Linked DNA regions of Saccharomyces cerevisiae S288C. Changing the gene in region 4 together with the main gene of any one other region gives a genetic interaction. Each region holds a gene or a part of one and is shown on either strand. Other genes may lie near its edges. The genes, in order: MFB1, ATG32, POX1 and EGD1.

What was found.
Region 1: mutations in EGD1 (region 4) and MFB1 together harm fitness more than expected from each alone (negative genetic interaction), as found in Saccharomyces cerevisiae (2 studies listed by BioGRID).
Region 2: of EGD1 (region 4) and ATG32, changing one suppresses a phenotype caused by changing the other (phenotypic suppression), as found in Saccharomyces cerevisiae (one study listed by BioGRID).
Region 3: mutations in EGD1 (region 4) and POX1 together harm fitness more than expected from each alone (negative genetic interaction), as found in Saccharomyces cerevisiae (2 studies listed by BioGRID).

The regions. Positions count from the first base shown.
Region 1 is NC_001136.10:904,955-913,102, reverse strand, and holds MFB1 (Mfb1p), read left to right. Parts: upstream 1-6,250; coding exon 6,251-7,648; downstream 7,649-8,148. Other genes in the region: CRF1 (Crf1p), read right to left, coding at 1-1,004; YDR222W (uncharacterized protein), read right to left, coding at 1,802-3,049; GTB1 (Gtb1p), read right to left, coding at 3,665-5,773; septin SPR28, read left to right, coding at 8,051-8,148.
Region 2 is NC_001141.2:69,759-77,857, reverse strand, and holds ATG32 (mitophagy protein ATG32), read left to right. Parts: upstream 1-2,084; coding exon 2,085-3,674; downstream 3,675-8,099. Other genes in the region: pantoate--beta-alanine ligase PAN6, read left to right, coding at 575-1,504; SLN1 (histidine kinase), read left to right, coding at 4,405-8,067. UniProt on the Saccharomyces cerevisiae protein: Mitophagy-specific receptor that recruits the autophagic machinery to mitochondria and regulates selective degradation of mitochondria.
Region 3 is NC_001139.9:104,451-113,073, forward strand, and holds POX1 (acyl-CoA oxidase), read left to right. Parts: upstream 1-3,707; coding exon 3,708-5,954; downstream 5,955-8,623. Other genes in the region: CHC1 (clathrin heavy chain), read right to left, coding at 1-3,054; YGL204C (uncharacterized protein), read right to left, coding at 7,250-7,555; KEX1 (serine-type carboxypeptidase), read right to left, coding at 8,025-8,623.
Region 4 is NC_001148.4:478,013-485,129, reverse strand, and holds EGD1 (Egd1p), read left to right. Parts: upstream 1-3,228; coding exon 3,229-3,702; downstream 3,703-7,117. Other genes in the region: H(+)-exporting P2-type ATPase PMA2, read right to left, coding at 1-2,287; MET31 (Met31p), read right to left, coding at 4,062-4,595; YPL038W-A (uncharacterized protein), read right to left, coding at 4,757-4,948; YPL039W (uncharacterized protein), read right to left, coding at 4,955-5,905; isoleucine--tRNA ligase ISM1, read left to right, coding at 6,129-7,117. UniProt on the Saccharomyces cerevisiae protein: Component of the nascent polypeptide-associated complex (NAC), a dynamic component of the ribosomal exit tunnel, protecting the emerging polypeptides from interaction with other cytoplasmic proteins to ensure appropriate nascent protein targeting.

The DNA.
Region 1 (8,148 bases), on a different chromosome or scaffold from region 4:
TAATCACTATCATAACTATCATTCCTTGGGCCTTCCGAAGAACATGTGAGGTTGGATAAGTCTTCTCTTGAACTATTATAGAGGCAATCAATATCCTTTTTCCTTGTATTAATAGCGACGTTGTCTAGACTAAAGGTGCGATCAGGTCCATCGAGCTCTACTTCGTCGATTTTATGCACATGCTCGTTGAGATGAAAAAAGCTAGACACATCTAATGTAGAAAAATGATTGCATTCACTGAAATGACCATCATCCAAGTTAAGGGGCGTACGGTCCTCAAAACAACTGCTACTATATTTTTTTTCGAGTGGTCTTGGATTTTTCACTCCCTTATCCGTACCATCCATTGGTGTCAATATCACGGCCTCATCAAAGTCGACATCTGATTCCGTTTCTGGATATTGGTGTGTAATACCTCTATTATTATTTATCGATACTGTTTCGCAACTATCGATGTGGTTGTCTACTAAAATATCAACACCAATGTCCTCTTCATCTTCATTAGTTGTTGAAGCCGAAGGACTGTGGTATTGTCGGTGAGATTCACTTTTACTTGTTGGCAAACCGAGCAGTACTACAGCCGAATTCGCCCCGAAGTTTACATCGCGCTTATTACTGACATATGTAGTATTGCCAGCTGACGTGAGCTGGTCATTAAATATATTATCTGCTTCTGTCTTAGAGCTGCTGCCAAGAGACGTCTTTTCCTCTACCTCGTTGGTGTTTTCCTCCCTAGAATATTTATAAGAATTTTTTTTTTTCTGTCTATTACTACTTTCTGGTTTTAATCGTTTAGCACTAATATAGCTACTCTCAAAATCCGAGGCCTTACTTATAGAGGGGTCCCAAAGAGCATCAAAGCTGCCATCATTATTGGATGAAAGGACGACAGTTGAAGAGGACGACGAAAAGGAAGCAGCTGTACCTGTCTCTTTTGGCTTTTTTTTATTTGGACTGTGTGGCTTGCGCCGCACGGTACTGTTAACAGGCGCACTAAGCAACATTTTAAAAGACTTTTTTATTCCGTACTATACCGCTGCTGTTCAGTTAAATGGTAACCTTCTTATAACTTTCTAGTGACCGCAATAATTATATTCCTTCTTTTAAGAAATTTCTCGATACAATTATAGAGGGCTTTTGACTCATTAATCTTACTGGAACCATTGACAGATTAGTCCGAAGAAGAAAACTCTAAAAAATCCGCTAGTAAGATTCAACAAAAAAAAAGTCTGCTTGCTATGAAAGTCTGATTTCTAGAGTACACACCTCTATAGCTACACTCTCAACTGATTGCTTCACTTTTTGAAAGAGGAAGAAGGACAAGAACTGGATTCACAAACTCAACTACATCTCGGTTTATCCGTTTAGACCAAGGTTTTATATAAGGCGAGGTAGAGTTCGGAAAAGGAAACTTTCATCGACTTCCCTTAATGATTATTGATTCCCCTTTGCTTTCTCTCCCCAACATTTGAAATATGATTTCTTTTTATTTCGAAAATGCCATTCTTCTCGTTCCCGTGATGTTTTCAATATGCATGCGGCAAGGGGAACATGATATTTCCGTTCTATGGCTTACGCAAGTAAGAAGCATGGCGCAATGATGCAATAGTCCATGGGGGAAAGTGTGGCCTCAAAATGAAAAAAAAAAGTGATGATAAATTAGTTATTAGGTAGTGATTATGTAAAAAAATTCGATTACACATTAATTATTAGGTAAAGTTGGTAGAAGAAACAGGAGAGAAAAAGAAGAGAAAAAAAAGGACAAAAAACGAATTTCATGTGGAAGTGTTCACGCTTTTGTTCAACTAATGAAGGTGCTCTCAACGATAGAAATACCTTTCTCGTGCTTATATTTAGAAGGTTGACAGTATTGATAAATGAAAGGTTTGATGCTCACAATTTTCTGAGCTAACGACCTGACCATGCTTGGTAACTCACCGAGAACGTCGTATCGATTAACCAGCCTCAAGTCGTGTTCTGAAAATCCACCGGGGAACTTGATAGAGGTTGGATATACCCAGCCGCTTTCCTTATCTGTACTCGTAGCACGGAACCTAACATGACGTTTTGGGCTCTGCACAGAAGAACCAATAGATATCAGTTTGTTTTTTTCAGTAATTGACCAAACTGTTACGGTGACGTTATCATGATCTCGAGGAGTAGTGAATTCAATTGCTAAAACAGAGTAGTTTTCGCTCTGAAAACATAGGAAATTCCATTTACTGGCTGCTTTATTCGGCAAAAGACCTTGAACAGCGTCCAGATAAACGACAGGAACATCAGTTAATGAAATATTTTTATTTTGAAAGTCCCCACTATTGAGTTTTTTATCGTAGGAAATATTACCATTACATTTACCTCTGGGCACAAAAACATGTCTGATCATTTTGTCTGAGGAAACGAATTCGTCACTCATCGAGATTTGTTTGTCAAAATAATAATTGCAACCGTTGGGGTTCATCTTAAAACCTTGAAACAAATCCACCAACAAATCGATTTTCAAATTTTGAATTGTATTGTTACATGTTGGTAAATCACATTTGATAGATAACTGGCCAATGGAACCTAATTTTTCATTTTTGTTGCTCAAAAATTCAAAAATAACATTTCTAGAGACAAACTTTAATGGTTGAAATTCAGCTATGTCATCCAATTTAAAACTTTCCCAAACGTCGTAGTCAGTATTATTACTTTCTGAGCCAAAAACCTTGAAATTCAATTGGAAGCCTTTATAGATACCACCCATAACCGTAGAATACAGTAATTGAACAAATCCACACAAGCCTGTATGCAAATCTGTGAAATATAACGTTTGGGTCTCGACTCTGGTCTCCATCGATTTTTTCATCACTCTGAATAAACCTCTACCACCATCTGTCTTGTTACTTATGGTGTGTTGGTAGCCCGTTTCACTATCATTGTGACAATACCACTCCAATGGTTGGATGTCATTAATAAGAGTATAGTTCTTACTCTTACTTACCGGTTTTTTGTAATCTACCTCTTTAATAGGCGCAAACTTTATCTTATCACTGCTCGATTCAAGCATCACTAAATGAGTCTCTATGTATGTACGATGTATCTTATACGCCCTCACTGTCAAGAAAAGACAATACGAAGTACGGCGGCAATTGTCACTCAAGAAATTTCTTCATTTTTATATGACTATACATCGTAAACTCAAGCCCAGAGAAGTGAGTCTCCAGTAAACACTGTTCGTTATATCCATCACATTTAAAATCCGTAGGCTTAAGATTGCCAAAACATATGCATACAAATTCCAGTAGTAAACATGATTTTGGAATTCACTGTAATAATCTGTGAGACATCTTGGAAACCGGAAGAACAAAGATGAGAAAAAAAAAAAAAAAAAAATAAAAGCCGCATAAACATCGGCTAGACGGAAAAATTAGCATTACGTCTATGACTTAGTTCTCCGAAAAAAATACAAGCCGTGTGGGGTGATTACGCCGTACCCTTCTTTTCGCGTTATTCCAACAGGTCGTACAGAACTATCAGTATTTGGAACGATATACTTATTTATCGTCTTTTCGCGTTTTGGCCGAGGGAAATATTGCTTTTGTTGCGGAAAAGAGTATCACGGCACAGCATCGGCCTTCCTAGTTGTTTACTTACTAAAAAAGCCTAACTACTCATTTTCCAGTCATTCACTTAAATTGAACTTAGGGGGCTCGTATTCGAAAGTCTTGTTGCAGCCTAGAGGACCAACGACATCGAAGATGTAGTTGCACTTAGTCGCTTCATGTACACTCCGAATCTTGAATTTGTCGCTGCACCGAACAAATACAGTAGCCGATCTGCGCGGACCATTCCAGCACTGGTCTCCATTTTCGTATTCTAGTACCAGACCATTATTCAGTTCGTTTAAGTTCCCGAATACGTAATGTTGCATGTTACCGTCATCGTCCTGTATAGCTGCTAAGTTTGAAATCAAATCACTCTTCTCATCATATGTGGCCTTTAAATGTTCTGCGTATTTTTCCATGTTTAAGTCAACATTAAAACCTGATGTCTTAAAACGACCGATCAAAACTTTTTTACCGTCAACCTTATCCTCAGCTTGATATATGACACCTTCGGTCATTGGACGTTGAAAGCATATAGTGTACACATAGTTGTCCAGTATGTCGTCAAGACAATAGGATTGTGATCCCATTAGTTCTAAAAGCTCAGTCAGATTTCCTGCAGTAGAATTAGTTCCTTCATCTTCAGTTTCATCTAATAATTTCTTATAGTCCATTTTTTGCTTTAATTCATTCTCCAGGAGACTGACTTGACTTTCACAAGAGCGGAATCTCTTCTCTAATGAGACCAAATCTTTTCTAGATGAAAAAATATTCAGCTTAGATAGAATCTCTTTGAGTTTATTGCGCAAATCTCCAGAAGTACCGATATGATCGCTGTTCGTATCTTGTTCTGACTCAACAGCGTCTGGTGGCAATACCTTTGGTGCATTCTCGTTCACAAATGATGTTACTTCGCTCAACGATCTCAAAAGGCTCTCTGACGGGTGAGCTGGTTCTAATTCAGCCAGTTCGCCGTATTCACCTAGGTAGTTTTTATACGAATCGACAGCACTTTTGACCCCTGCATCTTGAAAGTTAACATTGTAATTCTGAGAAATATCATCCATAATCAAACGGAATTCTCTGATATACTCCAAGATATCGTTGGTATAGTTAATTTTACCCTCCACTAGCGCTTGAACAAAATTGGATTTTCCTATGACGTACCTCAACGTGTTCTCAGATTCTCTTTTCAAAAAAATTTGAGGTACTTCTTCTGTAAAGTACAAGTAAAGATTATCTGCCTGCTCATCATCAATTTTGCTATCTGCATTAATTTTAGCCTTTTCAGCCCGTCTTCTAACTTTTCTGAATTTTTTAATATTATCATTGACAACTTTATCATTTAGCGAGGGAGTATAGGCCTCTGATAAATCACTTAAAATCTTGAATATGTCCTGGTAACCTTTACTTACTCTTGAAACCATAGTGAACGATGTAAGGATGTCCGATCCCAAACGAGTACTGTTTAATTGTTCAAATTGATACAAAATGGGATCATGGCTTAATTGGTTAAAGTACTCGCCTCTCAACTGCTCTAATTTGGCTCGATTTTCTGAGAGCCTGTTGGAGAGTACTTTTATCTCGGCAGAAGCTTTTTCCTTATCTTCTTCTAAGCAATTACCACGGGTGATAGCCTCTTCCTTTGTACCGTATTTTCTTTCCAGTTCTTCTAGGGCCTCTTTACCTTCCCGGTAACTTGATAACTCTTTAGAGGCCATAATGTCAAATTCGTTTTTTAACTGAGAACAATTAGATCCAGCATCAAAGAGCTCATATCCAGAAAGTAGCTCGTCAGAACAGTCACAGCAGTCACAAATACCATCTGCGACTTCCGATTTTCGTATATATCTTGGAATAAACCCCTTGTTATCACAATAAAAATACTTATTCACTTTACCACCTCCCTCTGCAACGCTTTTGAATATATCTTCCACGCAGGCGGCGCTGCCGGGCTCATCTGAACCATCAGGACAATCACAAACCCCATCATTAATCTGGCTTATATCCAATACGATATCTTCGTGGTTCAAACAGTGCCATTTAGTCAAATCTGGTTCATTCGAGTCATACAAGTGCTGCTTTTCCCAGGGAACACCCACTATATGCCGTTGACTTTGTTGCAATGACGCTACAAGCGGCGATTGCTCAATTAATAGCAGAAATAATGAGAACATGCTCACCATAGCGAATCTTCTTAATGAAATAGCAGAAGTGCCTTTATGCTTCTTAAATGCAGTGCGGAAGCCTCTGCTTCTACCATAACATCTTCCAACACAGTCTTCATACACTATTATTATTCATTTTATGGCCGGGTAAGTATTTTAAAAGGCATTGGCAATACCCGTTTTGTTTTGACCCAAACAACTGTTTATCATTATTCCTGGTGCTGTCTTCTTAGAAACTATAAACGCTTGTGCACCTACCCAGTATTTAACCAGTTGGGAGGAGATAACAATATTTACTTACTTTTTCACAAAATAGGAAAAGGAAAGTTATACTTTGCTATAGTTTAAACAAAGGGAAAGTTTTCAAATAACCAAGGAGTCTCTGTTACTACTTGCTAAATATCCTCATACAAAATATCAAAACAAATTGGCCAAACTGCACAAGGAAAGTTCACTTTTGTTCCAGAATTAGTTATAGTTCCTTCAACCACATAGATGACATTATTTTCTTGTAGTGTACAGATGCCGCTGGAGGAAAGGTCCCTGACAAACTTACCATTAAACCTATTGTTCCGAATATTGTCTCACCTGGATATGAATGATTTACAAAACATAGGGAAAACTTGCACCTTGCTAAGGATGCTGGCGAATGAGAACATTGTTTACAGAAATGCTGTTATCGGCTCAAACGGGAATATGTGGTGGACAAAAAATGTTCTTGTTGATGTCTTTGATGTTTTGAATTTTAATAGAAAGGCAATGAAAACCTTAAATAGTCACAACATATCCCTGGTCGCATCATTAAGAAATGTTCAGCGGAAATATAAACTAGGCGTTATTGATCCGGCTAGAAAGACAATAAGTTATAGAACAAATGAAGTTGAGAGCAAAGAAAAGGGCTCTGTGAAAGATTTAAATATGGATTTGAACGAACCTACAGAAATAACAAGGGAGCAAATCGCTCATACTGCAATACTACAAGGAATGAATCAATTCATCGAACTCAATGATAAAGCATTTAGGACCCATTCAGCGGATTCTGATGATACATACATAGAGGAGAATAATGGAGAAATACATTCTCTCCACGGATTGGAAAAAAATACAACATTTGAAGAAGACTTAGTCAAAAAGCCACCTTTTATCCCTTCTCCGACATTTTCTAATTATTCTAGAAGTTCAACAAATTCTGTATTTTCAAGTTCATCGCCCAAACTACTGGACGATGATTGGAATAATATTACAATGGATTTCACTAAGTCACGAGATCCTGATTATAAAGAGATGACGCCTACATCTACTGAATCGTCTGACTCAATCACAAGATTGAGAAAATCTAATAAAGTCAAGGATAAAGCCGAACTTTTTGAGAAGTTAATTTTTAGAGATAGCAGACCATTAAAAACAAAGAAAAAGGACAATCCAAGATTGAAATTATCCAGTTCGTTAAGTGCTAATGACGAAGATTTTAGGAAAATCATAAGTCCCCCTTCTGACATACTACCGAAAGTTGGCAGAAGGAGCGTCTCAAGAGGTTATTTAGAGGAGATTGAAAGGCATTATCCCGATTTTAACGGTGAAACAACTAATCCTCTAGCAATTAAAAGAGTCAACAGTACAAAGATAGCAAATTATGAACAATTAATTATAAAAGAAAATAGCTCGAACTGTAAAGGAATAACAGAGAAAAATGATGAAAATAAATTTCAAAGAAGTCACACTTCCCCAGTAATAGAATTATCCAAACCTCATCAAAGAAGCAAATTAAAGGCGGTTGTTACAGACGGTAATAAGATATGCTATCGCAAAATCGAATTGGATAACCCTAGTGGGTCGAATACGAATGATCATGTAATCAAACGGCTTGACGCTAATACCGATTTTAATATATAACAGAAAACGCCTCAAACCGACTTTGCTTGGAAGAGTTTTCTCTGAATTAGCAACGGAACTTCGAAATGGTTTTAGACAAGCATGCATGGTATGTAGAAACAGTTAAAGAGCGCCGCTACCATTTGCACAGATGTACATATAAATAAATGACTTATTTTTTATATTCTATCAATAATAAGACAATTTGTGGTTGCCTTTAGAAATTTCGTGGCTTTTTTTCATATATTCTAACTTCAATAAAGTTTTTTTGATGCGAAATTTGATCGCTCATATTAAGGACGCCTGAAAAAGACATGCGTCTACATTTTGTGTCATTCCCATAAGAATAGTAAGAACAGGCATTTTTATAAATCGATACAAAAAAAGAGCTACTATACGTACATAAAGTCAGTAAATAATCAAATGTTCCCAATGAAAGATCACTCAGCTCTTGAACAACATACTCTCAGCAGAGATGAGTTAAGACGTCGCAAGGGTTACAAGAAAGGACTGCAGTTGTC
Region 2 (8,099 bases), on a different chromosome or scaffold from region 4:
TTTTTTTCTTTTGGCACTTTCAGTATGGGTAACCCTTGAAATGGTATTTTAACCGCTAATCGCAATAGACTGCTTACATCTTTAACAATACTTAACGGGGCTCTCAACCAGCCCATAATCACGATATTATTTCAATGTTCAGTTATAACCATCTGGCACATAGTACGGTGAATTTCTCTTCAATCCTAACATCAGTAATGCTTTTCGGACCTCCAACCGTCTTTCCTTTGCATTCACAGTCTTTCCCTGACAAGAGCCCTGCTACTATTGACCCTACAGAGACCTTCTTGTGGCGAATTGTTGCTCTTTTTACTTTCTTACTGATGTAAGTTAATTAGAAGGAGTGATATCTGTAAGAGTGGAAATTAAGCGCCCATCTTTTTTATAATGTTGGCTGAACAGATATCCGGGTAAATGTTACTTTAACGAGTTTTTTTCTTTTGTCATATTTTCCAACAAGAGATTAATGAACATTTCTCGATGTAGCGTACATATTTATGTGTACAAGAAGTGGTGTGTGTTGATACTGCACTGTTTTATACAAGTTTTTATACTGCATATCCATATAGAATTGATGAAAATCTTCCATACTGTCGAAGAAGTTGTTCAATGGAGAACACAGGAGCTGAGGGAAACTAGATTTAGAGAAACTATTGGGTTCGTTCCCACAATGGGTTGCCTGCATTCGGGTCACGCTAGTTTGATCTCGCAGTCTGTGAAGGAAAACACCTATACTGTGGTCAGTATATTTGTAAATCCCTCCCAGTTTGCGCCAACGGAAGATCTAGATAACTATCCTCGAACTTTGCCAGACGACATCAAATTGCTTGAGTCGTTGAAGGTGGATGTTCTATTTGCTCCTAATGCACACGTGATGTATCCACAGGGAATTCCGCTCGACATAGAAGAGCAGAAAGGCCCTTTTGTTAGTGTTCTTGGATTGAGTGAAAAATTAGAGGGGAAGACGAGACCTAACTTCTTTAGGGGCGTGGCAACTGTCGTGACTAAACTATTCAATATCGTTATGGCGGATGTGGCTTATTTTGGGCAGAAGGACATTCAACAGTTCATTGTTTTACAGTGTATGGTGGACGAACTGTTTGTTAATACAAGGCTACAAATGATGCCTATTGTAAGAAACAATAATGGACTGGCTCTGAGTAGTAGAAACAAATATCTTTGTCCAGAGTCTTTAAAGATCTCTGAAAACCTTTACCGCGGGCTGAAAGCTGCGGAAAATGCTATTAGGAGACTAGCACCAGGGGGACGTCTCTCCAGATCAGAAATCATCGATACTGTGACTCAAATATGGGCACCCTACGTTGATTCCCACGATTTCAAAATCGACTATGTTTCCTTAGCAGATTTTAAGACTCTTGATGAACTCTCCGATGTTGAAAACACCAGCGAACAGCAGCCAATAGTCATTAGTTGTGCTGTATACGTGACTGACCGCGAAAAACCCGATACGGTCGTCAGACTAATAGATAACATCGTTATTTAAACTAGGTGATTGGGCCTTCCCGTGTCTGTGTTGCAGTATATACCACTCTTATACAGTATGCACGATATTCTTTTAAACCAACAACGGGATGATAGATTTCACGCTTGATGACTTTTTTTTTAGACGGCTGAAGGGACGACATCCCCATCGCTCAAAACACAAATATGGAAAGGACAAATCGTCTTTCACAGTTTGCATAGTAAAAGCAAAGTTTATACTACTTCAGCAAAGTTGAAGTTGTTTGGCACTTGTTTCGTGCTTTCTCAAATATCTTAGATCACCGTCTGTCTAGAGCATATATCTATTGTTTGACGCACCCCTTTTACAAAAAAAAAAAAAAGAAACAGATCTATTAAGTAATAAAAAAGTTATTTAGGAAATAAGGTGCAGTAAGCTTCCTGAGGCATAATCATTATACTTTTAAAATCTATATTTTTGGGTTATTGTTGAAATATTTTCTTACAAAGCCCATTTCTCGTTTTTGACAATTTTTCTTATCAGTTGTGACTTCTCTTATCGATAAGCAATATTGAAGTCCTAATCACAAAAGCAAAAAAAATCTGCCAGGAACAGTAAACATATGGTTTTGGAATACCAACAAAGGGAAGGTAAAGGATCCTCATCTAAAAGCATGCCACCTGATTCCTCGTCAACGACTATTCACACATGCTCTGAAGCACAAACTGGGGAAGACAAAGGCTTACTTGACCCTCATCTATCAGTATTGGAATTGTTGAGTAAGACAGGGCATTCGCCTTCGCCAATGGGACAGAACTTGGTTACGTCCATTGACATATCCGGCAACCACAATGTAAACGATAGTATATCAGGATCGTGGCAAGCCATTCAGCCTTTGGACTTGGGCGCTTCTTTCATCCCAGAAAGGTGCTCTTCTCAAACGACTAATGGAAGTATTCTATCATCTAGTGATACTTCTGAAGAAGAACAAGAGCTGCTTCAAGCGCCTGCTGCTGATATAATAAATATTATTAAACAAGGACAAGAAGGAGCAAATGTCGTTTCACCGTCTCATCCCTTTAAACAGTTACAGAAGATAATATCGCTGCCCTTGCCTGGTAAGGAAAAAACTCCTTTTAACGAGCAAGATGATGATGGTGATGAAGATGAGGCTTTTGAGGAAGATAGTGTGACGATAACAAAAAGCTTGACTTCTTCGACAAACTCTTTTGTTATGCCCAAACTATCACTAACACAAAAGAATCCAGTTTTTCGCCTTCTAATACTGGGAAGGACTGGTTCCAGCTTTTATCAATCAATACCAAAAGAATACCAATCTCTTTTTGAATTACCCAAATATCACGATTCCGCAACATTCCCGCAATATACGGGGATTGTCATAATTTTTCAGGAGCTGAGAGAGATGGTATCTCTGCTAAACAGGATCGTTCAATATTCTCAAGGCAAGCCTGTAATACCGATCTGCCAGCCTGGGCAAGTCATCCAAGTGAAAAACGTCCTGAAGTCATTCTTAAGGAATAAACTTGTTAAATTATTGTTTCCTCCAGTTGTTGTGACCAACAAAAGAGATTTGAAAAAAATGTTTCAAAGATTACAAGATTTATCCTTGGAATACGGAGAAGATGTGAATGAGGAAGATAATGATGACGAAGCTATACATACAAAGTCTCGGTCCTATTGTCGTAACAAAAAAGCCGAAAACTCAAAAAAGAAATCCCCTAAATCGAATAAAAAACCCAAGAGAAAGAAGCAGAAGTTCTTCACGAGCTGGTTCACTTGGGGCATTTCAATTACTATAGGAATTAGTTTTGGATGTTGTGTGACATACTTTGTCACTGCAGCATACGAACACCAAACAGTTAAGTCTTTAAGTTTGCGGCCCTCCATATTGGCCTCTTTACTTTCCTTAGATTCCTCTAGCGACACAATCAATACGCCCGCCACTGCATCTCCTTCTTCAACTGAGCAGTTTTTATGGTTTGATAAGGGTACGCTTCAGATAAACTTCCACTCCGATGGATTCATTATGAAAAGTCTTACCATAATCAAGGAGACTTGGGGCAAAATGAATACTTTTGTCTTGCATGCTCTTTCTAAACCTTTAAAATTTTTGGAGAACCTTAATAAAAGCTCTGAATTTTCCATTGATGAATCTAATCGGATTTTGGCACTGGGTTATATTCTATTGTAACCTTTTTCCAATATACACAAACATACACGTTCCTACTCACTTTTTTACTATCACTTCTGTTTCTCTCACTGCGTATCTATATTCCCCGTTTGGTTCCTTTCCTTAATTACATAGAAGCTTATCAAATATGAAAATTCTTTCATTATACAGGCAATTTTTTGTTTGGTTTCATAAATACATAAACAAACAGCTTATAAAATATTTCTTCTGTTAGCAAATTTAAGTTTCTTTATATATTCCTTACTTTCGCGTCTCAACACAAAAAAACAATTAAAAATCAACCATAGCGCATAGAGCGTATTCCGACGACTTCAAGGAAACTATCGCTGTAAATGTGAATGCATTTAGAAGTTACTATTATCGCCTTTGACATCATATTTGAAATATTCTACCTTCATGTACTTAAACGCCCAAATTACCCGATCTTTTTGCGCCGCGCGTTAATATTTCCTCTTCGCATTTTTTAGTGATTATTACTACATAAATTTGGGATTAATAGTTCATCGAAAACAGCACGAACAAAAGCCAACTCACTACATTTTAGCAGATTCCGTCCGGAGTTTTGATTCTGTCCTTGTTTGTTGTTTTCCATTTCCTACTACGAATTCTATAAAGACAGGTAACAGCAGTGGAGAAGATCTTATAGATCTATCATCCAATTATAATAAGCATAGAATTGAAATAAGAACACGTTGGGTATAATCTACTTTGTTTTGATTTAACAATACAAATGCGATTTGGCCTGCCATCAAAATTGGAACTCACTCCTCCGTTTAGGATAGGCATCCGAACTCAACTAACGGCACTAGTTAGTATAGTGGCTTTGGGCTCACTGATTATTCTGGCTGTAACGACAGGGGTCTATTTTACCTCGAACTATAAAAATTTAAGGTCCGATAGACTGTACATTGCCGCTCAGTTAAAGTCATCACAGATTGACCAAACTCTAAACTACTTATATTACCAGGCGTACTATTTGGCATCAAGAGACGCCCTGCAAAGCTCACTAACAAGTTACGTTGCAGGTAACAAGAGTGCAGATAATTGGGTAGATTCCTTGAGTGTGATTCAAAAATTTTTGAGCTCTTCAAACTTGTTTTATGTTGCTAAAGTTTACGATTCTTCATTTAATGCTGTTTTGAACGCTACGAATAATGGAACTGGTGATCTAATTCCAGAAGATGTTTTAGACAGTTTGTTCCCATTATCCACCGATACACCGCTACCTTCTTCACTGGAAACTATAGGTATATTGACGGATCCAGTACTAAATAGCACCGACTATTTGATGTCTATGTCTTTACCTATTTTTGCCAATCCTTCTATTATCTTGACTGATTCAAGGGTTTACGGATACATTACTATAATAATGTCGGCAGAGGGTCTGAAAAGTGTGTTCAACGATACAACTGCTTTAGAACATTCCACAATTGCCATTATTTCTGCAGTATATAATAGTCAAGGCAAAGCTTCAGGGTATCATTTTGTCTTTCCACCGTATGGATCACGATCAGACCTCCCGCAAAAAGTTTTTTCTATAAAAAATGATACATTCATTAGTAGCGCATTTAGAAACGGGAAGGGAGGGTCTTTGAAACAAACCAATATCCTTTCTACACGGAATACTGCTTTAGGCTATTCACCATGTTCGTTTAACCTAGTTAATTGGGTCGCGATAGTTTCACAGCCTGAGTCGGTTTTCCTTTCTCCAGCAACGAAACTAGCAAAAATCATCACCGGCACTGTCATCGCTATTGGTGTCTTTGTCATTTTGTTAACCCTTCCTCTAGCACACTGGGCAGTGCAACCAATTGTACGTCTACAAAAGGCAACTGAATTAATTACAGAGGGGAGAGGCCTTCGACCGAGCACCCCAAGAACGATAAGCAGAGCCAGTTCATTCAAAAGAGGATTTAGTTCTGGATTTGCTGTTCCTTCTTCGTTATTACAATTTAATACTGCTGAAGCTGGCAGCACCACAAGCGTAAGTGGCCATGGAGGCAGTGGCCATGGCAGTGGTGCAGCTTTTTCAGCAAATAGTAGCATGAAAAGCGCTATAAACCTTGGAAATGAGAAAATGTCACCTCCAGAGGAGGAGAACAAAATACCGAATAACCACACCGATGCTAAAATATCAATGGATGGCTCGCTAAATCACGATTTGCTTGGACCACATTCCTTGAGACATAATGACACTGACAGAAGTTCCAATAGATCTCACATTCTCACAACTTCTGCAAATTTAACTGAAGCTAGGCTACCAGATTATAGAAGACTATTTTCTGATGAACTTTCCGATTTAACAGAAACCTTCAATACTATGACAGACGCATTAGACCAACATTATGCTCTTCTAGAAGAAAGAGTTAGGGCGAGGACAAAACAACTCGAAGCTGCCAAGATTGAGGCAGAGGCCGCAAATGAAGCAAAAACCGTCTTTATTGCCAATATTTCGCACGAATTGAGAACGCCTTTAAATGGTATTCTGGGTATGACGGCTATTTCAATGGAAGAAACCGATGTTAACAAAATAAGAAATAGTTTAAAACTCATTTTTAGATCAGGTGAGCTTTTGCTTCATATTCTAACGGAATTGTTAACTTTTTCCAAAAACGTTCTTCAAAGAACGAAACTGGAGAAAAGAGATTTTTGCATTACCGATGTTGCCTTACAAATAAAATCGATATTTGGTAAAGTTGCAAAGGATCAGCGTGTTCGTCTTTCAATATCATTGTTTCCTAATTTGATAAGGACAATGGTTCTTTGGGGTGATTCCAACAGAATTATTCAAATTGTGATGAATCTAGTGTCCAATGCACTAAAGTTCACCCCTGTAGATGGTACCGTTGATGTAAGAATGAAACTGTTGGGTGAATACGACAAAGAATTAAGCGAGAAGAAGCAATACAAAGAAGTGTATATCAAAAAAGGGACAGAAGTAACCGAAAATTTAGAAACTACAGATAAATACGATCTTCCAACTTTATCGAACCATAGGAAAAGTGTCGATTTAGAATCCAGCGCTACTTCCCTAGGAAGTAATAGAGACACTTCGACAATTCAGGAAGAGATAACAAAAAGAAATACTGTTGCGAATGAAAGTATCTATAAGAAAGTGAATGACAGGGAAAAAGCTTCGAATGATGATGTATCTTCTATAGTATCAACAACTACCAGCTCGTATGATAACGCTATCTTCAATAGTCAGTTCAATAAAGCACCTGGCTCAGATGATGAAGAAGGTGGTAACCTAGGAAGACCTATCGAAAACCCCAAAACGTGGGTTATTTCTATTGAAGTGGAAGACACTGGGCCTGGTATTGACCCTTCCTTACAAGAATCTGTATTTCATCCATTTGTTCAAGGTGATCAAACATTGTCCAGGCAATATGGTGGTACTGGCTTAGGTCTATCAATCTGTAGACAGTTAGCAAATATGATGCATGGAACGATGAAATTAGAGTCGAAAGTAGGTGTTGGTAGTAAATTCACTTTTACCTTGCCATTAAATCAAACTAAAGAGATCAGTTTTGCAGATATGGAGTTTCCTTTTGAGGACGAATTTAATCCTGAGAGTAGAAAGAACAGAAGAGTCAAGTTTAGTGTTGCTAAAAGCATCAAGAGCCGACAATCCACATCATCTGTTGCAACACCAGCTACAAATAGAAGTAGCCTAACCAACGACGTGCTACCGGAGGTAAGAAGTAAAGGTAAGCATGAGACGAAAGATGTTGGAAATCCTAACATGGGAAGAGAAGAAAAAAACGACAATGGAGGGCTTGAACAACTGCAGGAAAAAAATATTAAACCTTCTATATGTCTTACAGGTGCTGAAGTTAACGAACAAAATTCCTTGTCTTCTAAGCATCGTTCTCGACATGAAGGTCTAGGTTCTGTCAATCTTGATAGACCATTTTTGCAAAGTACTGGTACAGCCACATCAAGTAGAAACATCCCCACAGTCAAAGACGACGATAAAAATGAAACAAGTGTCAAAATTTTGGTTGTAGAAGATAATCATGTAAATCAGGAAGTTATCAAAAGAATGTTGAACTTGGAGGGCATTGAAAATATTGAACTGGCTTGCGATGGCCAAGAAGCATTCGACAAAGTTAAAGAATTGACATCTAAGGGCGAAAATTATAATATGATTTTCATGGATGTCCAGATGCCTAAAGTGGATGGTTTACTTTCTACCAAGATGATAAGGCGCGATTTAGGTTATACCTCACCTATTGTCGCTCTAACCGCTTTTGCTGACGATAGCAACATTAAAGAATGTTTGGAATCAGGAATGAACGGATTTTTATCGAAACCAATCAAAAGACCAAAATTGAAAACTATTCTTACTGAGTTTTGTGCAGCATATCAGGGAAAGAAAAATAACAAATGAACAACCAAGAATAGTAAGAGAAATCAAAAGCT
Region 3 (8,623 bases), on a different chromosome or scaffold from region 4:
TATGATTTTTTCTAGCAACTCAATTAGTTCCAGTTTTAATCCATTGGTCATGAATGCTTGAACAGTTAAGGAAACAGGTTCAGGATCAGTTAATTCAGGGATACCAACGGAGATGACCGAATCAATTAATTGTCTTCTGTGAATATTTTCTTGATTCAAAACTTTGTTCCATAAATCGAGATCAGAACGTTCCAACAAATATCTTGCCTGGTACTTGTACATGCTATTTTCATTAGTGATTCTAATCAAGTCATCATCATTTTGACCTTTTTCATACGCAATATATGCAAGGTAGGGATCTCTTTTTTCGCAGTAATGACCAACGTCTAAGGTGTCATATTGGTCGTTTTCCTTCAAAAACTTTTCAGGAGAATTATTGGAATCAATATAAATTTTTGCTAAGGCATTGTAAACAGCTTGATCCTGGATACCTTGACTTAAGCTTTGTTCTAGGAAAGGTAGCAATATTTTTAGTCTATTTCTCTTTTCAACCTCAGTAGTTAATTCATTAATAGGGACTTGACCTAAGACTGATTGTAGCAGACTTTGAATAAATGCCTCATCACAGTCCATATCAAGTAATGCGCCAACAACTTGGGCAGTCTTTGAAGGGTTAACCTGCTGCACGTAAGTTTCAATAAATTTTAAGTTCTGTGATTTGTACAAATATAAAATCATTTCATGAACAAAGTCGAAACGGTCACAAACTATGACTAGAGGCAACTGGTCTTCTAGATTGGCATCCTTCAAGAAATTCTTGACTCTTTCTGGATCATAGACATTGTTATCCTTCACAATTCTTTCAATTTCTCTGTATTGTTTCATTTTAGCAGCAGCTTCAATGTATTTGTAAACCACATCTTTATCTTCGGTTAGGTTGACTAAAGAGGCTAAGTAATAGTATAAACCTTCCGTAGCATTATAATCTTCGAATAATTTAATCAAAGTAGATGGACCGATCAAATCAGAGAATTTAGTTGCCACCTGTACTACGGTCTGGATGTTAGCCTGAATATTGTTATCCATTAAAGCTTTTAAGCACGCCAAAGATTGTTCAACGTTCAACTTACCAAAGTATCCGACTAACCAATCGATAGGTAATGCATTGGTGTGGACAACGCATCTCTTGATATCTTTGATGTCTGTGTAATTTTCTAAAGCTCTCTGGTATAGTCCCGCCTTTTCGGATAAGGAAGCAATAGTTGGTTTGTCATAATGAGAAAAGATGTTGTTTCCCAATATGGCGTCAGCAACTTGTGGTGCGTGTAGTAGATTGACTTCAAGAACACGAGTTTGCAAGTGACCTTGGTCTGGGGTATCTCCTTTTAACGCGTCTAGAAGTAGAGAGGTTCCTTGTTGGATATGGTTTTGGGAAAAGAATAGATCTGCGATTTTTTCTATGTCGATCTGAGAAGCAGTTTCCGGATTTTGTAATAGAGATACGGCAAATTCAGAAGCTCTGTCTGGTGATGATCTAATCAAAGAAGAAATCAGCACTAAAAAGTTAGGTTGATATCCAACCTTTTGGCAGTAAGGAATAATTTTTTCAAACTGTTGTAATTCGGCAAGACAAGATATAACTTTTGCATGGGCACCTGCTCTTAAGTAGCAAGCTAGCGCTAAAGTAGTATCGAAAGGCTTAACGATGTCACCTAGTTCTTCTGAACATTCTAGTTTATCTTCCTTTAACCATTTTTCGAACAATTGTTTTCTGTCTTGTTGTAGAACTGGTCTAGCCAATTCAATTGTTTCCTCTTTATTCAATTTCCCTTTATCCAATAGTGTTGAAAAGTAAAGTAGGATAGGAGAAATGGCGCCTGGTGGTGCTTGAATGTTTTTCAACCTGTTGATGGTGTTTTGGTTCCTTAAAGAAGTGGAAGAGGCTGCAACTTTAGCTGCATTTTGATAATCGTTTTGTAACAATAAAGATTCAAACTGTTTTTGAAATAAATCATCTGCACCTGGTAAGCCACCTCTTGTAGCAACGATTAAGGCCAGTGCCACATTAGATAATTTATTCAAGATATATGGAACGATTTGAGAAGTAGAAATCTCTACTGCTAAAACTTGACCTTTTTTATTGATGCATGCAATACCGTTCTCGTGATTGTACGGAGCTGCAGTAAAAACAGATTCTGCTGTAATTCTATTAACGAATAAATTGGTACCGGTTTCCAATTCGTACAAATGGATGAAGCCATACTTGGTTAATAGGTAAATTATGCCGTATTTCTCAGACACCTGAACAGCGATTGGGAAATCATTCGTTGCATCTGGTGGAAAGAAAATATCGGTAGTTTCCTTTTGATATTGAGAAGGCAATGAAGCATCGTGATCAATCTCGATAATTCTTAATTCTCCAGCACCGGTGGTGGCATTTCTGTTACCAGTAACGAAAACTTGTACCGGGGTCGAGCCATTACCCTCTAGTAATATATTCGTAAAGATAGCAACATGACCGTCGATAGCTTGGGAGATGTTACGTTGTTTTGAGAATAATTGAATTCTACCGGCAATACGGCCATTTTCTTGTAAGATACCAACAACTGCGAACCAGTCAAGGTTTTTGTTAGCCACAAAATTGATAATTTGGGTATTGTTCAAGTTAGCGTGTCTCAAGGTAAGCAATTGAGGCTTAGCATTTACGTTACCATCAAAGACGTTCGAGGTCAGTATGGATCTTGCGGTAACAAAACCCAAAGTGGTTTCACTCAACCACCTCCAAAAAATAACAGGTTCATCTAAAGTAAAAGACTTTAACTTGCTCTTAGTTTCCAAATTAAATATCTGCACGATAGTACCATTTGCTCTAACGGAAATAACCATCTGAGATGGATGCATGATAGCAGAATCACCGCCCATATTCTTCCTTGTCACTTCATTGCCTTTGGCCAAATCCACGATTGCAACAGAGTTTGTACCGTCCTTTGTTTCTCTAACAGTGACGAAGTGGTCACTCTCGAAAGTAGTTGATCTGAAGTCAAGGAATTGAGGGGAAATTCCTAAGGACATCAGATCGACCAATTCGGTAAATTCAATGGGTAGGTCACTCATTGGTTAGAACTTTCGTGATAATTTATTTTTATAGTTGAATATCTTCTTTCTCTCTCAACTCTGATCCGGATTGTCGAGGTTTCAATAAGTTACTCTGAACAACTAATCAAAATATCTCCTTATTTCTGTAGATTCCTTCAGTTCCACTTTTTACTTTTCTTAATTCTCTTTGTATTTATTCCTAGCGACGAAAAATGCGAGATCTCGACCAAAAAAAGGGGGTAGGGTAATAAAATTAACCCTATTATTTTTTAACTTTAAAACCTATAATGTGCTAATATTTTATTATAAACCTCCTTTTTTTGCGTTCAAACCCTGACACATTTTAAGCCCTATATTTACGGTATTAGTTGATTAAACTCCGAAGCGAAAGGAATTCGGTCATTAGCGGCTAATAGCCGTTGGGGTAAATCACCTACAAGCAAGTACACAAGAGAACGTTGGCGTTGTTAAGTCAAAGCACTAATACATTGGGGCTTTAAGAGTGTTTATAAAGGTCTAACCTGTAAAAATTATTTAAACAACTTGAACAGGCCTTAAAGTTTTCCTCATTCCGCTCATCATCACTAATATTGCTCTCCGTTTTTGAATACACACTTGACACTAATAAGTATCACAGAAAAAAAGAAAATATAATAAATTAGTATTGCGATATGACGAGACGTACTACTATTAATCCCGATTCGGTGGTTCTGAATCCTCAAAAATTTATCCAGAAAGAAAGGGCGGATTCGAAAATCAAAGTTGACCAAGTTAACACATTTTTAGAGTCATCCCCGGAGAGGAGAACTCTGACGCACGCCTTAATAGACCAAATAGTGAATGATCCTATATTGAAAACTGATACGGACTATTACGATGCTAAAAAAATGCAAGAGAGAGAAATTACTGCCAAAAAAATAGCTAGGCTTGCTAGTTATATGGAGCACGATATCAAAACAGTGCGCAAACACTTTCGCGACACTGACCTGATGAAAGAGTTGCAAGCAAATGATCCAGACAAAGCTTCGCCTTTAACAAACAAAGACCTTTTTATATTCGATAAGAGATTGTCACTTGTAGCAAATATTGATCCTCAATTGGGTACGCGCGTGGGTGTACACTTGGGGCTATTTGGTAATTGTATCAAGGGCAATGGTACTGATGAGCAAATCCGGTATTGGTTGCAGGAGAGAGGTGCCACTTTGATGAAAGGTATATATGGCTGTTTTGCAATGACTGAGTTAGGACATGGTTCCAATGTTGCCCAGCTGCAGACTAGGGCTGTGTACGATAAGCAAAATGATACTTTTGTAATTGATACACCTGATCTAACTGCCACCAAATGGTGGATTGGTGGGGCTGCCCATTCTGCCACGCACGCTGCCGTGTACGCCAGATTGATCGTTGAAGGTAAAGACTACGGTGTAAAAACATTCGTTGTTCCTCTGAGAGACCCTTCGACTTTCCAACTGTTAGCTGGTGTTTCCATAGGGGATATTGGAGCGAAGATGGGTCGTGACGGTATTGATAATGGCTGGATCCAGTTCAGAAACGTAGTTATCCCTAGAGAATTTATGCTAAGTAGATTTACCAAAGTTGTCCGTTCTCCAGATGGTTCAGTCACCGTCAAAACTGAGCCACAATTGGATCAAATTTCTGGTTATAGTGCATTGTTAAGTGGTAGAGTTAACATGGTCATGGATTCATTTAGGTTTGGCTCCAAATTTGCTACTATTGCTGTACGTTACGCGGTTGGTCGTCAGCAATTCGCACCTAGAAAGGGATTGTCTGAAACACAATTAATCGACTATCCCCTTCACCAATATCGTGTTTTACCACAATTGTGTGTTCCATATTTGGTGTCACCTGTAGCTTTTAAGTTAATGGACAACTATTATTCCACTTTGGACGAGTTATACAACGCTTCCTCATCTGCATACAAAGCTGCTCTGGTTACCGTGAGTAAAAAGTTGAAGAATTTATTTATTGATAGCGCCAGCTTGAAAGCCACCAATACTTGGTTAATTGCTACACTGATTGATGAGTTGAGACAGACTTGCGGAGGACATGGGTATTCACAGTATAACGGATTTGGTAAAGGCTATGACGACTGGGTGGTTCAGTGCACATGGGAGGGTGATAATAATGTTTTATCTTTAACTTCAGCAAAATCAATATTGAAAAAATTTATCGATTCAGCCACAAAGGGTAGATTTGACAACACACTGGATGTGGACTCATTCTCTTACTTAAAACCTCAGTACATAGGATCTGTGGTTTCTGGAGAAATAAAGAGTGGTTTAAAGGAGTTGGGTGATTATACTGAAATTTGGTCTATCACCTTAATCAAATTACTGGCACATATTGGTACTTTAGTTGAAAAATCAAGAAGTATTGATAGCGTTTCTAAGCTTTTAGTCTTAGTATCCAAATTTCATGCCTTGCGCTGCATGTTGAAAACCTATTACGACAAGTTAAACTCTCGTGATTCACATATTTCCGATGAAATTACAAAGGAATCTATGTGGAATGTTTATAAGTTATTTTCCTTGTATTTTATTGACAAGCATTCCGGAGAATTCCAACAATTCAAGATCTTCACTCCTGATCAGATCTCTAAAGTTGTGCAGCCACAACTATTGGCTCTTTTGCCAATTGTGAGGAAAGACTGTATAGGTCTGACAGACTCCTTTGAATTACCTGACGCGATGTTAAATTCTCCTATAGGTTACTTTGATGGCGATATCTATCACAATTACTTCAATGAAGTTTGCCGCAATAATCCAGTGGAGGCAGATGGGGCAGGGAAGCCTTCTTATCATGCGCTGTTGAGCAGCATGCTCGGTAGAGGTTTCGAATTTGACCAAAAGTTAGGTGGTGCAGCTAATGCGGAAATTTTATCGAAAATAAACAAGTGAGTAGAGGTTTCCTGTTTTCCTTCGAACCCTCTGTTTTGCGACTTTTGTTTCAATTCAACTAGTGTCGCCAAGTTTTAACAAAAAGTTACAAAATCCTAGTGAGAGGCCATCTTATGTGCATAACGGTACTCTCTATCTATTTACATATCTAATACTATTCACATAACTATGACGAATCAATGACATGACTACATTTACCAATGTATAGTAGTAAAAAAATTGCCATCTCCTAGAATCGAACCAGGGTTTCATCGGCCACAACGATGTGTACTAACCACTATACTAAGATGGCAGGTAATTATTGAGTGTTTACTCAATATCTCAGAATTATATACATAACAAATAATAAATGTGCTGTGTTGGCACTTGTTGGAATGAAGCTCTAAAACATCATGATGATTGTGTGGATTCTGATGTAATTGTTGGGATTCCATTTTTAATAAGGCAATATGTTGGAACGAGAGTAATTAATAGTGACATGAGTTGCTATGGTAACAATCTAATGCTTACATCGTATATTAATGTACACATCGTATACGTTTAAGTGTGATTGCGCCTATTGCAGAAGGAATGTTAAACGAGAAGCTCAGACAATACTGAAGCTGTGTTAAAGACCTATTAGCTGAACATGATATGGTAGGTACATATATGAGGAATATGAGTCGTCACATCAATGTATAGTAACTACCGGAATCACTATTATATTGGTCATGATTAATATGACCAATCGGCGTGTGTTTTATATACCTCTCTTATTTAGTATAAGAAGATCAGTACTCACTTCTTCATTAATACTAATTTTTAACCTCTAATTATCAACACAATAATATTAGGTATGTAGATATACTAGAAGTTCTCCTCCAGGATTTAGGAATCCATAAAAGGGAGTCTGCAATTCTACACAATTCTATAAATATTATCATCATCGTTTTATATGTTAATATTCATTGATCCTATTACATTATCAATCCTTGCGTTTCAGCTTCCACTAATTTAGATGACTATTTCTCATCATTTGCGTCATCTTCTAACACCGAATATCATAATATACTAGTAACGTAAATACTAGTTAGTAGATGATAGTTGATTTTTATTCCAACAGTTTATCAACTAGTAGTCACACTACCAATATATTATCATATACGGTGTTAGAAGATGACATAAGGTATGAGAAGCTTTCATCGAAGGTAGAGGAAGCAGAAATACAAGGATTTATAATGTAATAGGGTAATGGAACATATAAGGGAGGAGAAATGATGGTGATATTAATATGCAGAAATATCGATTCCATTTTTTCAAAAAAATAGTGCCAAACTATTAAGAAGTAGCGAAACAGCAAAGGCATATTTCCACATTTCGCTTTTAGCAATATACATAACTATGGTGGCAAGATACCATGCAACTAATAACTTTGCCGCAATGACACCTCTATTTCTACTTGTTGTCGTTTTACCTCTTACTTGTTTGAACATTGCTGTTCTAAGACCTAACAATAATAGTCCTAATACAAACAGAGGGCATGCTGTTATAAGTATAAAATGTTTGCTGTAACTAATGGTGGGGGAAGATTGCAAAAAACGAAGGATATCAGTTCCATTCATTTCCAGGGATTTGTGTTGATATGTGGGGCTATGAATGCGTTGAAGTTTTCAACTTCTGTGAAGGAGTTAAAACAACCACTAAACAATCTCGTTCAAAAGCTCTAATTACTTGTATATTATTTTATACGTTTATGTCTATTTCAATGCAATTACGTGAAAAATAAAAGAACGCTACCATAAAAATGTTAAAAACTGGTTAAAAATGTCAAAAAATGGTCCGAAAACTGAAAAAATATTCGTGATACAGTTTGCATAAAAAAAAACTATTGTGCGCGATTAATATAACCTACTAGACTTAAATGACGACACTTTAATATGAAGTTCAGTAGTGTGAATTAAATAAAACAGTCAGTTCTTGATGGATTGTACCCTTTAAAGAATTTATCTTTATGTCGCTGTTACTACGAAAAGCGTGTGCGAGGTATTATAACTATTTTTCTGTATTTTTTATATATTTTTATTTGCCAAGTTAAAAATCAGTCATCTCAAAAGATTCATCGATTTCAGTGTTCGGAAGGCTAGTATACTTCTTCTTTTTCTTAGTTTTCAATTTAGATCCTGCTTTGTTAGAAGTGCTACTTATGGGTGCTCCGCCTTCTAACTGCTCATCTTGTTCTAAATCATCTTCTGCCCCGAGTCCGCTTTCCAGATCATCTGCCCATGAAACTGTCTTATTGGGACTGTCATGTTGTCTATTATTTGGATCAACTAAAATTGTGTGACGCGCTTTTCTCCTCACTCTTCTATCATACGCATAAACTCCTAAAACCACTATCAAAAATGTAACGATGGTAACTACTACCGCTTTGTGTTTATACATTGAAATCTCTTCTGCAAATTCTTCTACCTCTTCCTCTTCTTGTTCATATTCTGAAGATTTATGTCTACTATCCTCGAGGCCTTGATTACTTTGTTTTTCATTATTATCGTCTTCATCATCGTCATCGTCATCATCGTCGTCGCCCTCGGAGTTGTGATCGTCTTCATCGTCGTCATCATTGTCGTTATCATCATCGCCATCTTTATCTTTATTGCCTTCTTTTTCCTTTCCTTCCTCATTCTGCGCTT
Region 4 (7,117 bases):
AAGTGGCAACGTCTGCGAAAATAGCAATAAAAACGATCAAATTGATATCCAAAGAGTTGTTTAAAATAGCAATCCATAAACCCAGGAAAATCTCCAAATGTAAGGATAGGGCAATACGATAAACAACATAGGAGTACATTCTGTGGAAAATCTGTCTAGAAGTCTTTAAGGCATCAATAATAGCAGAGAGACCAGGGGCCAAGAAAACAATATCAGCGGCTGATCTGGCAGCATCGGTAGCACCTTCGACAGCAATACCAGTATCAGCCTTCTTCAAAGATGGGGCATCGTTAACACCATCACCAGTCATAGCAACCAAGTAACCTCTGTTTTGCAAGATTTCAACGACTCTGTATTTATGCTGTGGGAAAACTTCTGCGAAACCATCGGCATTTTCAACAAAATCAGCCAACTCTGAACCAGGCATATCACCTCCACCTCCCAGACCTAACCTTTCTGCGTTATAAATGTTTGTACCAAGTCCTAATTGCCTACACGTTTCTTTCGCGATACCAACAGCGTCACCGGTTAACATCTTGATTCTCAAACCAAGGTTTCTGGCCTCATTGATTGTTTGAGCGGTGTCATCTCTAGGGGGGTCCATACATGGCATAACACCCAAGATTTCCCAGTGACCTTCCCCTCTCTTTCTAGCAACACCTAAAGCACGGAAACCTCTAGAAGCTAGTTCAGCAACCTTATTTTCGTAGTTTTCATGCACATCTTCCGGAATTGGGTGATCTTCTTCAACAGTCTTCAAGACAAACAATGGGGCTCCCTTGACACAAACAATTCTTTCACCTTCTGGGGATTCTACAACAGCGGTAACCTTTTTTGAGACAGGGTCGAACGGATGGAATTCCAAAACTTTGTACTTGGTCAGGGCGTCTTTAGCTTTTGGATACTCAATCAATGACTTCAAAAAAGCCTTATCAATAGCATCCAAACCTTTCTTCTTTCTAGAGGCAGCTAAACAAGCGGTCAACATCAAGTCGTCCGGAGAAACGCCTTCGACAGTGTAGGGTTCGTGTAAAGATAACTTGTTTTTGGTTAAAGTACCAGTCTTGTCAGAACATAAAATCTCAACACCAGCAAGGGATTCAATAGCAGATAACTTTTGAACAATGGCTTGCTTCTTAGCCAAGTAAGCTGCACCGACAGCCATGGTCGTGGTAACAACTGCTGGCAAACCGACTGGGACACCAATGATGGTTATACCCAAAGTATATCTCAAAATGCTTACAATACCGACCGTTCTATAGAAACATGCGGTCCAGACCAACAACAAAGTAGCGATAACTAGAACAAGTAAGATAATACCAATTCCATTCAATACTTCAGTGAAATGGCCCTCTACACCGGAAGCCTGCCCCACTAAGGCGGCAGCCCTACCGACGAAGGTATTGTCACCAGTGGCAGTAACAACCATAAAAGCCTCGCCGGTTTTCACAGTGGATGAGGAGAACACCTCATCACCGTAATGCTTTTCAGCGGCTAAGGATTCACCAGTGATGGCCGATTGATCGATCTGCAAAAAACAGTCTTCAGTGACAATACGACCATCTGCGGGAGCAATTGTGCCACTTTCCAATTGCAAAATCTCACCAGGAACTACCTCATTAGCCGGAATTTCGATCAATTGGCCATCTCTAATAACTGTTGCAGTATTGGCCAACGTCTTTTTCAGCTCGTCTACGATGGAACCTGCCTGGAATTCTTGAATAAATCCGACAGATGCGTTTAATAGCAGTAAAGCACAGATGACACCGACATCAACCCAATCAGACAAACCGGCAGCCAAAATAGCAGCAGCCTCCATAACGAATTGAATAGGCCCTACGAAGAACATCAAAAACTTCACAATCAACGATTCATTCTCCTCAGCCATTTGATTTAACCCATATTTCTTTCTTCTCCTGGCGACTTCATCCGAAGTCAAACCATACGCAGGGTCCGTAGAAAGGTCCTTTTCAGGAACAACCCTTTGGCCAGCGTGCACCCCATCAGTACGTACTTCTTCTTCACCAGATTCATCACCCTCACCGTAGTTAGATTGTAGTTCATCAATCAATTGGTCTATATCTTCATCTGAGTCAGAATCATCAGCGGCAGAAGCGGCTGCGGCCTTCCGTGGAACGGCTGCAGCCGATGACGAGGCGGAAGTTGATGTAGAAGACGAAGATGACGAAGAAGCGGCAGAATTATTTGCAGGGTCATCGCCATCACTGGCATGGAGGTACTCTTTCGAGGGTTTCTCCTTGTATTGCTTTGCTTCAGTGGAAGACATAACGCAAAACAGTTTCCTTTTGCTTAAATTGTACTAGCACACAGCAACGAAAAATGAAAAAAAAAAAGTTATGGGTATGTTTAAAAAAGCCCAGTAGCTTGGATACAGTAGGTTATCCAGCAAGAAATGCTGGAAGAAATAATAGATGGTAAAAGAGGATATTACACACCTTTATATAACGAAGTACCATCACACCGCCAATTACGTTTAGGGGACGCCGACAAGAAGTAAATTCACTATTATGTACTTACAAATATGTTTCCACCGATAACCTTTCCCCCTTCGACGGTTATTTGAGCAGCGTCTGTCCGCCATTTTTCCAGAGAAGCTACTTCATCAATCAATTGACTTCGCAATTCCCTTAAACAAAAAAAATTTCTTTTGCCCTCCCTCGACGATTTTGGAGTAGAGAATACCTTAGGCCTTTTTTTTTCTTTTTTCTCACGGCTGCTCTTCCTCTTTTTCGCATATTCTATTTTATCATCGACTTCCCTAATTCGCACTCGTACCAAAATGTTAAGCAGTATGGCGAAGAACGTGGCGCGCTGGAGTCGTGAATGTTTGGGTCCTTGATGATGGACTACGGTAGTAAGTATGTAGTAGTTGCAACTTCATATGTTCACTTCTGATCCAAGGAAGAGCGGTTATGAATTAATCTCTTGGCATGAGCGGACGGGTAAGGGGACACCGCCTTTTCTTCGATGGGAATCAGGGTAATGGTATATGATGGATTATTGTGGAATCATTTAGTACGGCAGATGTTGAAAAAAAAAGCAGAAAATTTTTGAATTTTTTTCGTTGACATTGGAAGATTTCGTAGTGGAAACAGCTGCAATTGCTTGTTAAGTAGTAACCCCTCCTTTGTCACAAGAGAGCGAATATTCTTTCTAGGGAGGTTTAAGAATAGAACATCTCACACCAGACGCGACTCATAATTCATAATGCCAATTGACCAAGAAAAATTAGCTAAGCTACAAAAGTTGTCTGCTAACAACAAAGTTGGTGGTACTAGAAGAAAGCTTAACAAGAAGGCAGGCTCTTCTGCCGGTGCCAACAAGGATGACACCAAGTTGCAAAGTCAATTAGCTAAGTTGCACGCTGTCACCATTGACAACGTCGCCGAAGCCAACTTTTTCAAGGACGACGGTAAGGTCATGCACTTCAACAAGGTCGGTGTCCAAGTTGCTGCTCAACACAACACTTCTGTATTCTACGGTCTACCACAGGAAAAGAACTTGCAAGATTTGTTCCCAGGTATTATCTCTCAATTGGGCCCTGAAGCCATCCAAGCCTTGTCTCAATTGGCTGCCCAAATGGAAAAGCACGAAGCCAAGGCTCCAGCTGATGCTGAAAAGAAGGATGAAGCTATTCCAGAGTTAGTTGAAGGTCAAACTTTTGATGCTGACGTCGAATAAATAACTTAATCTTTAATTTTAACGTTAAATAAAAAAACACATATTTTGTTCCATTTTTTTTCATTTTTTTTAGCATATCTAAAGCATATAATACAAACACTGTTTTCTGCAAAAAAAAAAAAATAAAAAATAAAATATAAAAAAACAATATACCACACTATGCTGCACACGTGAAATGATGAACTTGTACGTCACCACTTTGTGCGCAAAAAATTGGCAAAAGTAGAGAACATGTCACTAACTGTATCGGAATATTACAACGTTTTTTTATTCTACTTATCTCAATGGCTAAAGTATATATCTATCTATATATGTATGTGTAGGTGTGCTGATGGAGACAAATACGTTTTCCTCTAGCCTTACAACAGGCCGGTACCATTCTTTATCGCATCCTTGATGAGCTCATCTACATCAACGTCTGAACCTTCACTTAGTTTCTTTCTGTTTCTTTGACAGGTCAGTGTGTTAGAATGTCTTTTTAGAGCATCCTTCCTGGCAAACCCTTTGCCACAGTTTGAGCAAATATGCGGCAGCACGAGTGAGTGTACCTTTTCATGTCTTCTCAGATCAGAACTTCTGCTGAATTTCAACTGACATTTCGCACAGCTGTAGAGCTGTGCGCCTTCCTTGCTATGGTTGTTACCTCCTGTTCTTTTTGTTTGTGTTTCTGGAATCCTTATAAGACCTCTAGCCATATTTTCCGGCTCCCCAGCCTTTAAAACATTTTCTGGTGCTGGTATAACTGCGCTCAATGGGCTGGATTGTCGAATTCTGTGGAGTAGCTCTCGTATTATGGGGTCCGTATGAGTGGGACTTGATGAGATTACCGCTATAGCTTCTGCCGCTTGTTTGAGAAATATTTCATCTACATTCATGTCTTGCGCCAGTTTCATATGCACATATAGACTATCGACTGTGTATATTGAGCCCAACTTGTTAATGATCAAATCTCTTTACGTACTGAGGAACGGCTTTTTCTTTTTCTTACCCATGTTATATTTTGCATTAGAACAAAAAAAAAATTGATGGGCTAGCAAAATTTTTAGACTAAAATTTAGAGGCAAGATATGGTTCTGTAAGACTCGAAAAAATTCTCATAATATATACTTGCTTGTGTGAAAGTGTTCTTTTGTTTTGTTTTTTTTTCTTGTGTATAATTATACATGTTTTTTTTGCCTTTTGTACTCAAGAAATCATAAATGGAAATAAAAATGACCCTTGAATGATGAACAAAACGACAAACCATACTTTATTAAACTATCCTAAAAGCTTCTTGTACTAACTTTTTACCCATTTTGTTAAACTCCTGTAATTCTGTCACCAAAACATATCCGTTACTTTGACCCGACCATTCACCAGAGTCACTTACTTGGGTGGGTTCGATCCCACACTCAATTAATGATCTAGAATGCAAACCATTTGGTGTGTCTGGGATAAACGTAGTTTGTCGATATGTATCGGCATCAGCCCCCATGCTATGCGTTTCTTCATGTTCCGACCGCCTATCTTGGCCTTCCCCATCGGAATGGCTATGAAGCGAGTATGCCCTTGTATGTACATGTAGATCATCAGCTGACCTATTGGTAGAGAAAAAAGGTGATGCTGATGAATTGGAGTTCATAAAAGAACTTCTGAGGAAGTACGAATGTTGTTCACGTCGAGATAACATTTGCCTGCGTTGTTGTCTACTCCGCCGAATAAGTACAGGCCTCACAATAGAACAACAATTTATCACTTCTTCCAGTGGCAAGCCTGTTATCTGGGAATAGAGATGATAGGTTTCATCCCTCGTGGTAATCCTGTCGCGGTCATCGCCTACAACATTTGGCACACTTAAGATGAAAGCAGCTACAAATAGTTTGTGTAAGCTGAACTTTAAAAACTTCATGTAGTTAGTTTCCTTCGAGCAGCAATCTAGAAACTTGATGACAATGCAACAGACCTTTTTGAACTGTAAATGCGATGATTTGGCTCTGTGTAGGATTATTTCTAAAAATTTGGTTGTTTTCAAATGATTTGTGCCAATAATTGCATTGTCATCATCACTAGGCATGGTAACTAATAGGCTCGCATACCGCTGCATAATCCCCTTAGTCACTTGCGCTATCATGAACTTTTTCAATACCACTTTTTGCTTTTTAAATGACAACTCAGCAGATGCCATGTTATCAGCACCGCTCAAATTATACTCCTCTTTCAGCATCCCCCAGCGTGAATAATTCTACCCCGTATTCTTTAAATATTTAACATAGATGGCGATGATGTGTCGCCCCATATAATGTACTTTAAAAACAATAAAATCCTGTTCTGAAAATGTCGATTCTTTTTCCGCAAGCGAGTTAAGAAACGCAGAAAAACAGCAAATATAAAGGACCAAGGCTAGAAGTTATGGAACACAGTATACTAAGAACGATCTTTAGCTACTTATGAAGCGCTCCAGGCTTGTGCCTCAACATATCTTTAGCATTATTAGCAAGCGATATCTCGCCAAACATGCCTACCAAAAAACATTAAACTTGCCCAAGACCAAATTCCCTAATAGATCAAACTTAGAGATTACATTGAGGGAATTAATACCAAAATCTTCGCAGTTAGTTTACAAGGAGCAGCTACGTGATTTCTTCGAAGAATTTTCAAAGCTTAATACGACTGATGAAAAATTAGAGTTCATTAAAGAAAAGTTGTTCATCTTACATGATGGACCGCCCTATGCCAACGGCGAGCTCCATCTCGGTCATGCTCTAAATAAAATTCTGAAAGATATCATAAACAGATATCAACTTTCACAGGGGAAGTACATTTTTTATAAGCCTGGCTGGGATTGTCATGGACTACCCATCGAGATTAAAGCTTTGAAAGATTTAAGCGCGCAACAGATCGAGTCAATATCGCCTTTAAAAATCAGGTCAATGGCTTTAAAACATGCACAAAAGGCAATCAAGAGGCAAAGGGAAACTTTCCAACATTTTGCCATCTTAACGGACTGGGAAACACCATACCTAACAATGGATAAAGACTATGAAATTAATCAGCTAAATATTTTTAAAGAAATGTACGAAAGAGGACTGATTAAGAGACAGAACAAACCGGTTTACTGGGGTACAGAAACTAGAACAGCGTTAGCAGAGGGCGAATTAGAATATAATGAAAACCATAAATCCATCGCTGCTTATGTTAAATTTCCTCTTGAAAAGAAATCCCAGATGGATCTGTGCAAAAAACTAGGAATAACGAATAACTTGCCTATATACTGTTTGATTTGGACCAGTACTCCATGGACTCTTCTCTCTAATCGAGCAATCTGTTTCAATCAGGATTTTTCCTACTCCCTATTACGCTTAAATAGTGAACTTATCCTTGTAGAGACCGGCTCCATTGATAAATTGGGCCTAACAACTAACTCATTTGAGACTAT